Linked DNA regions of Drosophila melanogaster. Changing the gene in region 1 together with any one later gene gives a genetic interaction. Each region holds a gene or a part of one and is shown on either strand. Other genes may lie near its edges.

Region 1 (5,516 bases):
CAGCGGAACGGATGGACACGGAACTGATAGGCGTGTTTACGCTAACGTTGCGACTTCTCAGGTTTGTGGAGTTCTCAAGTGGGCAATGCACCTTATCCCAGGGGAGATATTGAGTACGCGCTAAATAAACTTCAAGTTCATTGGCATTGATTAAAATGCAAGGCGAAACGAAATGGAATCGAAGGCATCGAAACAAAAGGAAATGAAACAAATACGACAGCCACGCACGTATTCACTTGTGTATATGCAACACAAATTTTTACACAGCGAAAAGTTCGAAACAGTGTTTTTTTTTGTTGTAAAATATAAGAAGGGTAAATCCCTTCATTAAGCTTCCATTTCGACAACCCTGAATATTTGAAGCAGCTAAAGACAAACACCAAAACTGGAATCTACTTCGCACCGCAAGTGTGCCATTTAAGATGGCTTTCGGCATTTGACAGCTGTCAGAATTCGGGATGCGGGATTGAAAGCCATTGGTTTTCGGTTTCCCGGATTCCTGCCTGCATGGGCATTTCCCAATACATATGTACATACATATATTCCCATAATTGGGCGCCCAACGTACGTGTGATTGCGTTTGCGTTGCCCAAACCTTTGCCACCCCTGCCGTCCGTCTGTCTCTTTCGCGCACGGGTAAGCCATGTAAACGGGGGTTACATGACATTGAAACCGATTTTGAAGGTTTCAACGTTTGTGGCTCTGGACAGGGTAAGTTCTAACTGCTTCTCCAGAAATACCCGAAACGAAAAACATCAACAGAGCAACGAGAAAACAGACACAAAACCAGAATAAAGCATTGCCCCTTTTTTACGGTCTCTTCCTTGTTTCTTTGCTGTAATGGCGAAATATACACAAATTTTGGAATCACTCTGACGCCCTTGTCACTACATTTTTGGTCATTGACCTCGCACGAACACACAGATACAGCACTCGCACAAGAATTCCAGTGGCGTGCAAAGGGGATTCAAGTTTTGTGGTGCAGAGACCCCAAAAAGTCCAAAAAGCCCAGGAACCCCGAACCAAGAACCCTTTGAAGTTAGCCAGGTTTTGTTGCCTTTACTATTCCCGAGAATGTCCGAGCTGCGAGGACTCGTCCTGGGATCTAAAATCCCCTTAATCAACTGCCGCCTACTCCCCTGCGCCCAGGCACACATGTACATATAGCAATGTAGAGTCATTTGGGACTTGGTAACAAGCGGCAGTCGTAATGCGAAGAAGCAGGGAGCAGAAACAAAACAATGCCCAATGGCCCCAGTCCCCATTTCTGGATGCCACCCCCTCGCTTCCCGTGCCAAGCGGAGAGTCCCCAAGTTCTAGGCGTTGTTATCGTGCGTTTGCCAACCCACCCGCTACTCACACACACACACACACACACACACACAAGCACACACACATCGCAATCAGGAAGAAGAAACCAGCCAATAAATGGGTGGCACAAATGTCGCCGCACTTTCGATGCCCTTCCCACAAACAGGAGTCAGACACAACATAATTTTAAATAATTTTTGATAGCTTACAAATATTTCAAATACTTCGAAATACTTGTTTACAAAAATGTAACAAGAAAATTAAGAAGGTAGCTATTATAAACATACGCGAACAACCCTTTATTTGCGGTCGCGTTTTTTGCGTGTTTGGTTTATCGCAAATCGAACATCATTTCACATACAATATGGAAACTTGGCCAGAAAGGGCATCTGCAAGCCTTTAATATAATTGGGGTTTAGCGGCATTAAAATCGTAGTCATCGACATTCAGCATCAACGATTGTTTATCAATGTGTAAATAAGCAGCACTCGCATACATGCTTGTGTTCGTGTGCGTGTTTCGTATCTGTGTGTGAGTGCGTTCCCAAAAATTTCAATAGCAAAGGTCGATGAACTCGCCATCGGTAGCGTGAGAGAGAGAGAGCAAGAGACGTTTACGTTCATTGTTTTTGTTCCGCATTTCCATTTCCATTTTCTCTGGCCATTTCTCTCAGCTCTCTTTGCCTCTCTCTTTGGCTTTGAGTTTTGCGCGCGCTTCCTCGTTGCGTTTCATTCATAAACAGAGAGCGGCGAACTCGAGCTCGAACTTTTTTATTTCGAGATATCTCGGCCAGGCCAACGAACCGGCCAACATGTGCTTCTGCTGCTGCTGCTGCTCCACCTCCCACCCCTTTTGGTGAACTTTAAGGCGCGGTGACTAAGCCCAAGCGCCTCCTAAACTGCTGAACTTAAGCCCAGCTGGGCTCTATGGGGCTGTAGAACCCCGCAGCCGTAGGCCAATTATAATGCCATCACCCGGATTATTGGTCAGTGATTAAAGTGTTGCGCCATTTGGCGAAATGTACATGTTACTCGTATTTATGGCCAGAGCCTTGAATTCTAATTCTAACGGTCTGCACTATCTACATGATCTAATATGATCTAGTGTGGGAAACCTCCCTAGTCCTATCGATAATCCAAGCGAATGTATTTCGCACTTCTTAAATGCTAGAGAGAATCCTTAGTGGTACTCACTTCAATTGGTCCCGTTGCAGCGGTGTCATCTTTGAGGCATTCGGCTGACGCTTCTCTAGTGGCCAGCGTTTGCGAATACCGTTGATCCTGGAGCCGAAAGCGATACGGATATCGATAATGGTGGTGGCGGAACTGGGGCGATATCCATGCTCCGCGGGCAAGCGAGTATCCGACTACCGTTACAAGTTGATTGCTTGCGGTTGCTTTGAATCACTCTTCTTTTTTTTTTTTTTTTTTTTTTTTTTTTGTTACACACTCACAGCATTTGGCTTAAAACATTTCACTAGCAATTTAGTTGTTGTTCACATTAGTGTATTTGCATTCGTTTTGTTTTGTTTTGTTTTGGGGCTGTTGGCTGATGCAGGATTTCAAGATATGGAGGCTTCAAGATCAAGCAGCTGTTGATTTTTTTGCAGGACTCTTTAGTTAGATTTGCTTTATTTGGGTGGGTGGGGGTTAAACGTCAACTGCAACGGAACACACACATAAAAAATAGAATTAAAAAAATAGCGTCAGTGCCAAGGTGTCGTTATGCATTTTTTTTATATTTGCGCCGCACACACACACGCACGCACGCACACGTACACACACACACAAAACAAAAACAAGCCAATTTTCTGTTGGATCTTTGAAGATGCTTGCAAATTCTTGTTGTCAACAATTAAAAAAAAAATTTTCTTTGCATTTATTCATGTTGCACTTGTAAAATTGTCGCACACACACACAGTGCACCTTGCTGCTAGGGCGAGATAGAGAAAGTGGAGGCCCTTAAAATTTGTTTCACATATCCAATCTACGATGGTCAACAAAATCCTGGAGAGGCAACAAAAAAAACGTAAAAAAATAGTTATTTCGTTTTGTGTTATTATTTTATTTCTTGGGAACCCACAACGGAAATATCGTTTGATTTTCGAAGCGTTTGCTTTCCGCGCGCGACTAGCTCGTGGGATACACTGAACAATCCACCACCGACTGGCACCACCACTCCACTTGCCCCAATCTCGTGCTGCAGCGCTGCGTTGGAAGAGAGCGCCCGAAGAGCGCGCTCAAGAGAGGGTTCTCTTCGTTCCCGCTGCGCAAGAGAAAAGTTCGTTCACTGAACTTTTTTCGCTGTAAGTAGAGTAGATTTTATAGGCGAAGGAAAATATTTTTTAAATTCAAATGGAAATACGTAAATTTTTTTTTATTGATTTCATGTAGTTTTGAACTCACTTTGAACAAACAAAAATGTATTGTTTTCCTTACGAAATAATAAATAAGCAGAAAATGCACTGCAATTAAGTACGCCACAAGAACCCAGAAGAGTCAACTTAATTAATCCATAGTGATAATAATAATCAAAAACGATTTTCATATTAGTATTTAAGCTACATATTTTATTTGATTTCCACATTAAATTGTGTCAACATCAGCCCAAAAACATTATCCTGCTGCCCGAGGTAAGAACTTTATTTTAGCATTTGTCTTGTCGCAATCACAGTGCTAGCAGCCGATCGTGTTGGCATTGATGAACTGCACGAACAAGTGCGGCACCTGCTCCAGCGGAGTGGGTGACGTCTGGCTGGCGTGGCACGTGCTCGTGATGAACTTCTGGCGCAGGCGGTTCAGCTGGAGGGCATTCATCGAAGTGGCGACCTTCACGGGATTTCTGCTCCCTGGGATGCGCAGCTGGCCGAAGGCCTTGATCTTGACGGCGCCGAGGATCTCCTTGATGATCGCCTGCACGATTTTGTCCAGTTCGAACAGGTAGTTGGTTGTTCCCAGCGGTGCCTGCGGAATGGACAAAGCAGTTACTTGTGATATTTTGTCTTCAACTCTGGCCAAGCTCTACGCTTACATTATAAGTACTCTGGTTGGGTGGCAGTGGCTGGGACTCGTACAAGGCCTTGTAGATGGCCTCCATGTCGAGCGTGTCCTTGGGCAAGACTACCACCAGCGGACTGTCCCAACGGTTGTTGCTCTGCGGCTCCTCGTAGCGCTGGCACAGAGCATCAAAAGTCTCTCTGGTGTAGGGAACATCCGAGTTGTCCACCGGCTGAACTCTTTCACTGTCGCCAGGCAGTTCATCCGGCGCCGTTCTTTGGCTATTAAAGGTCCACGCCTCCTCCTGGGGTATGCAGGTAAACACAGTGCACTGGGTGGTCCTTGACACCTTGGACATGCAGTACAATTCGTAGCGGTAGCCTGGAAGAAATTTTGGTTGTGGTTTACGAACCTTAGCTGAACCTTGGTGAGAGCTCACCTTTGATGTAGTTCCCGGCGTCCAAGATGACCAGATCCTCCTGGTTAAGGTGACGCGAGGCTTCCGACTTAAGATCGCTACGTACCACCTTCTCCTTCTGCGAATCACCTGTATGGGAATTCTTTCCAAAACCCGCCTTGGGCACTGCCTCGTTTTCGCTGATTAGATGCACCTTCCTGCCGCGCTCCACGAAATGATCCCGTAGCTGGCGGGCACGTGTGCTCTTTCCGCTGGCTGGCAGGCCCGTAATCACCACGAGGGGCATGCTTCCTAATTAATAACAATAAATAAACAAAGTAGGTGTCGGAACGTTCCGCTCACAATGCACTCGGTTACCAACACTGGTGACAGTGTGCAAGATGAGCATCCATCTGGTTTCGAGCTAGATTTAGATATGTGCTTGCCTTTCACTTCTCATGATTAAAAATATTTGGCTATAAGTCCAGTGCAATTGTGATAAAAAAAAGTGGATAATCTTGTGTACCGTTATTTGTTGGGCCAGCCGATTGTTGCGTCTGAAATTAAAAATGTTGTCCTTAATTTCGTATTTTTCGCTTTTTAGCTATATTTCCACGACATCTGCGATGGTTATGTACATACCAGTGCTGCGAAACAATGTATTAGCGTTGACACCCACGAACGTGTTCAAACCGATTTAAATTTAGTCAAATATAAACCCCAAATAACCGGCTTCCGAATGGCTGATCCCCGTCGTCGTTTCCGTAACAAAAAGCGGGATGAAGCCTGCTCCGGCCTCCTGGCACCCGTGA
Region 2 (4,517 bases), on another chromosome or scaffold:
GCTGCCACAGATGTTACACTTTTTCCACTTCTGGGGTTAAATGGGTTTCCGGGCTTGCTAAAGGGTACACCCCCTTTGCCCTTTTCCTCTTTTTCCCTTTGACCCCGAGCCCGATGACTTGGACATTGGTGGCACAAACTGGGATCTGCGGTTAAGCGTCACCTTTGCTTTTTAACCCTTTTGGGTGGAGTGTGCCTGGCATGACACGACGGGAAAATTCTCTGTCTGCCCTTAACCAAAAATGTGTTTTCCCTTTTAAGGTGACATATTGGTTTTGACGATAGCGATCGCTAAATGTTTGCTTACTCCGCCTTTTCCTGGCAGGACGGTTATCCTTTGCCATTTCATTGCCCAAAATGGAATACAAAGGCTTAATTCATAAGCGGTTATTAAAAGAGTGTATTAAACAAAATTTCATATTATTTTGACGTATTTTTTTATAAAAACTTTGGTGAAACAAATAAATATTCTTTTGAATTTATTTTAAAAACGTTTTAGTTTATTTTTAAAATATTTTAAAAACGCTTCGAATAATTTTTCAAAAACATTTTAATAGAGTTCTACACCTCCGAAATAAAAGGTAATTAAATATATATATCTCGGCAATGGTGTTGGTAAAATTCTTTATGTTTTTCTGAAAAGGGACAATAATAATCGTTCAAAGTATTTTTTAATTTTTTATAAAATTGTATTTATTTTTTGCTTGTTTGTCTTATAAAAATTTTAATTTCTTACAAATGCTATCTTTACATGTGATTAATTTCAATATTTCTTGTTTAATTTGCAATGCCAAAATTAAAATAATATGTTTTGAATTTTGCTAAAATCAATAATAATGATAAGATACATTTCAAATTTTGTTATTCTTGATTATTCGTATCAAAATTGCTTAAATGTTTGTTGTTGTTTTGTTTAATTTTTGTTAAAATGTATTCTGTTCGGCGGTTCTTGTATTCTATTTTTTGTAGACGTTTTGTATTTTCTCTCTTTGTTGTAAACATATAAAATTTGCTGTTTGCTTAAAATCTATTTTGTACAATTGAGTTGTTGTCTTTTGTTATTCTTGTTGCTGCGGTTGCATCTTTGTTTTGTTGTTGGTTCTGTATTGTAGTTCTGTAATATTAGTTTACGATTTATATTTGTAAGTAGTTGAAATGTAGTTGAAGTAGTTGAAGTAGAAAATTTGACAATTATTTGTTAGTTGAGTACGATACTTGTGGTTTTGCTCATACGTATAGACACTAATAAGGTTTATGACAATTTTACACATTTCTCTTTATGCTCTCTAAATGTTGTTAAGTATGTTTATGTATTTGAACCAACCGGGAAACCTTTGCTTGCAAAATTAAACATTTTTTCAAAACTTATATCGGAAAATTTGACATCCAAAAAAGTAACAAACAACCAAAATCACTTTAAGCAAGTCGATGACAAATTTTGAATTTTCTCTCTCTCAAAAATAGTTTAAAAATAGTTTTCTTATTTTGTTGTGGAAATATCCCATGTTTTACAAAACTCGTTCCTCCTCATGTGTCCATACCCAAAAAAGAAATCACAATGCGCTTTGATTGAGCCTGCCTTTCCCAGAAAATCCCAAAGATTTTCTCTCCACCAGGATGAAATATGGAAACCAAATTTAGTTCTCCTTGGAGGTGGCATCAGTCACGTCGTCCTCATCGTTGTTCTGACCGCCGCTGCTGATCTCGAAGGATATCTGAATGACCGTCGGTTGACGCTGGCTCGAACTGTAGCTGTAGATTCGCAGAGCGTAGCAGAAGATCTGGGCCAAAAGATCCCAGCATCCAAACTCCGACATGGTCATCGATCCCTGTTGACTTCCCAGCGGCACGGAAATATTGGCACGGAATTGTGGGCGCTGTTGCTGATGATGATGTCGCTGCTGCTGCTGCTGTTGTTGCGATTGTTGCTGCTGCTGCGATGGTGCAGCAGCTGTTGCAGTTGTCCTTGGACTCGCTGCTGTCTGCTGGCCGTTTTGCTGATAGCTTCTGGCCAACAATTGGGCCTGGTCGGGTATGAAATAGGCGATGGCCATGGCGGTATTTAATTTAATACAAAATGTGATTTTACAAAACGTATGAATCTTTAAAAAAATATATAACTTTAGTGTAGCATATATTTTTAATGTTTGATTTCAATATCGCTGAGGAATAATATATTCCATTCACTGCTTGCACTTTAAGTCTTGTAAGTCTTTATGTTTCGTATCGAGCACTTGGAAAATTTTTCTGACTCATTTGGCGGGAAAACGAACGAGGAAACTTGTCGCTTTTTGACGAACTTTCAACTGCGCTTTTCGCTTCCGCTTGTTATTCAATGTTCTCTCGTCGAGGTTTCAGAGTGGACTGACTGTAAATATCCTTGCTGCAGTCACATTTATAAAATAGCTCTCTTTGTACTTTCCTATAGGAAGCGAGTTCCTCTCTCGCAGTGAATGTCACCCTCCCAATTTCCACCACCCCCCGGGAGTTTGTGTGTATTGTGTGTGTGCTTTGTTTATGCCAACAACCAACCAATTGAACCACCAACCACAGGAACCCACACCACTGACAATGTGCCACCACCACCGCCAGTTTACCACCCCAAAGACACGGCTGCCTTTGTTACCTTTACTTCGGAACTAGAAAGGGGGTGGGAAAGTGGCTGAGAAGCGGTGAGAGACTCGGGAAATGAGAGCGGAATTGGGGAAAATCATTTCACGTAAGAGTGCTACGTCAAATAAAACGTAAGCTCTTTGGGATTTCGTTGTTCGAAGCGCGGCATCGAATTCATTTCGAATTTCAGGGGTTAACTTGGGCGTACTTGCTCTAGCTGAGTCTAGCAATTTTGAGGGGAAGTTTGGTCGTCGTATGCTCATTTCGAATTTCGAACTTGGATTTCACTACGGATGAATCAACAATTGTTTGTTATGACATTTTGGTTCGCATAGAAACTGATTTTTGGTGATTAAATGCAATTTAATCTTGCTTATTGTACCTATTATTAGTATAATTATTATTTTCAATATTCATTAATGGCAAACAAATTTATACCAGGGACCAACGAGATCTTTTCTTACATTGTATCACTTTGGGTTATTTATAGTATACTTCTTTACATACTTAATATATTTCAAAACAGCGGAGTCTCCTTCACCTAAAATCTCTTGGAACCACTAACCCGCTTTCAAGTTAAGCATCCTTCAACTCAAAAAGCTTGCACGGCAAATCTTTGATGCGAAAACCTTGCGTAATGGTCCTTGAAGATTCCCCCTATTGCAGCCTTAAACTTGACCATAACAAAGGGCACCCAAATGGATTGACCTTCAAGCTAACGCGAATCCAGCTCCCTCAAACATTATGCTGACGACAATTTCAACCTTGGAAAATGTTTGATCCCAGCTCCCCCATTTTCCGTTAGCTGCAGCTCATCCATTATGATAAGCTGTTCCCGGATAGTTGCAAAGTCAAGAAAGCAGTGGCTGTGGTAGAGGGGTATGAAGAAAGTATACTTATGCAAAACTGATTATAAGAAAAATTGAGAATAATTTTTGGGTATAATTTCATGAAAAAATAAATTTTATCAATAATGTAAATTTATTGAATTTGTTTTATATAATTTATTTACAATCATGATGAATTAAAATCTTACATATGGAATAAATCATAATAACGATTTTTTTTAATTAGACAAGTATATTGTATTATCTCCTCCTCTGTCCCAAATGTTCAATAAATGTCATTTAACACTTTAACATTCCAGAAAAGGACTTCCAGGGAGCGGAAAGCATAAAGCCAATTGAGCTTATTTCCTCCCCCTATGTAACATTTTTGCTGAGGGAGCTCCAACAAGGCCATCGCCAAGGCCAAGTCCGCCACTTGTGGGTGATGTTCCACAAGTCTCCTACCGGCAAAAGCTTTTTATTTCTCACCCAACTGGCTTCAAGGTCGTGCCGGCCGGCATTTCCACCCACATTCAGCTTTTCCTCTTCATTTTTGTGCGTGCGACCTTGACAATGAAATTCGTTTAGGGAGCACAGCTCCTCCAAAGAAAGTGTGGGTGAGCTTTTCCTGACACAGTTGACAGCACGTGGTCGTTATATTCTGGCATATATATAAATGTCAAGCTCAAGGTCGCTGGGTATCGATTTGCCGAACTTGGAGGGTCTGTATTACTTACCATAAAAGTTATGGGTTGGGGGTAACTTTGCTTATAAATGGTGTGCGGAAAATGAGGTGAAATATTTTTAAAAACAAAACAAAACAACAAAATTTTCTGTATTGATTGAAGTAATATCATTACTGCGAATTTAACTATTAACATGATTAATATCCCTATTTAGGTTTAAGTACTTAATTTTTCATCATTACCGAGAATTGATAAGCCGAACAGGCTATTTGAATTTTATATAACAAATATTGTGTAATTGTTTTTACTGGACTTAAAATGTTAAGTTTTTAATATTTTAGGCATTTTATAAAATCACTCTTTCTATTCAACATATCTCCTGAACAAATATT

What was found.
Region 2: of Hr4 (region 1) and grim, changing one suppresses a phenotype caused by changing the other (phenotypic suppression), as found in Drosophila melanogaster (one study listed by BioGRID).

The regions. Positions count from the first base shown.
Region 1 is NC_004354.4:1,939,882-1,945,397, reverse strand, and holds the start of Hr4 (hormone receptor 4), read right to left. Parts: upstream 3,459-5,516; 5' UTR 3,394-3,458; exon of another isoform or gene 2,972-3,393; 5' UTR 2,534-2,971; coding exon 2,505-2,533; intron 1-2,504. Other genes in the region: CG3587 (uncharacterized protein), read right to left, coding at 3,987-4,274, 4,342-4,688, 4,747-5,011; CG3857 (uncharacterized protein), read left to right, coding at 5,444-5,516. UniProt on the Drosophila melanogaster protein: Coordinates growth and maturation by mediating endocrine responses to the attainment of critical weight during larval development.
Region 2 is NT_037436.4:18,302,047-18,306,563, forward strand, and holds grim (grim), read right to left. Parts: upstream 2,372-4,517; 5' UTR 2,054-2,371; coding exon 1,637-2,053; 3' UTR 673-1,636; downstream 1-672. UniProt on the Drosophila melanogaster protein: Activator of apoptosis, independent of rpr and hid, that acts on the effector Dredd.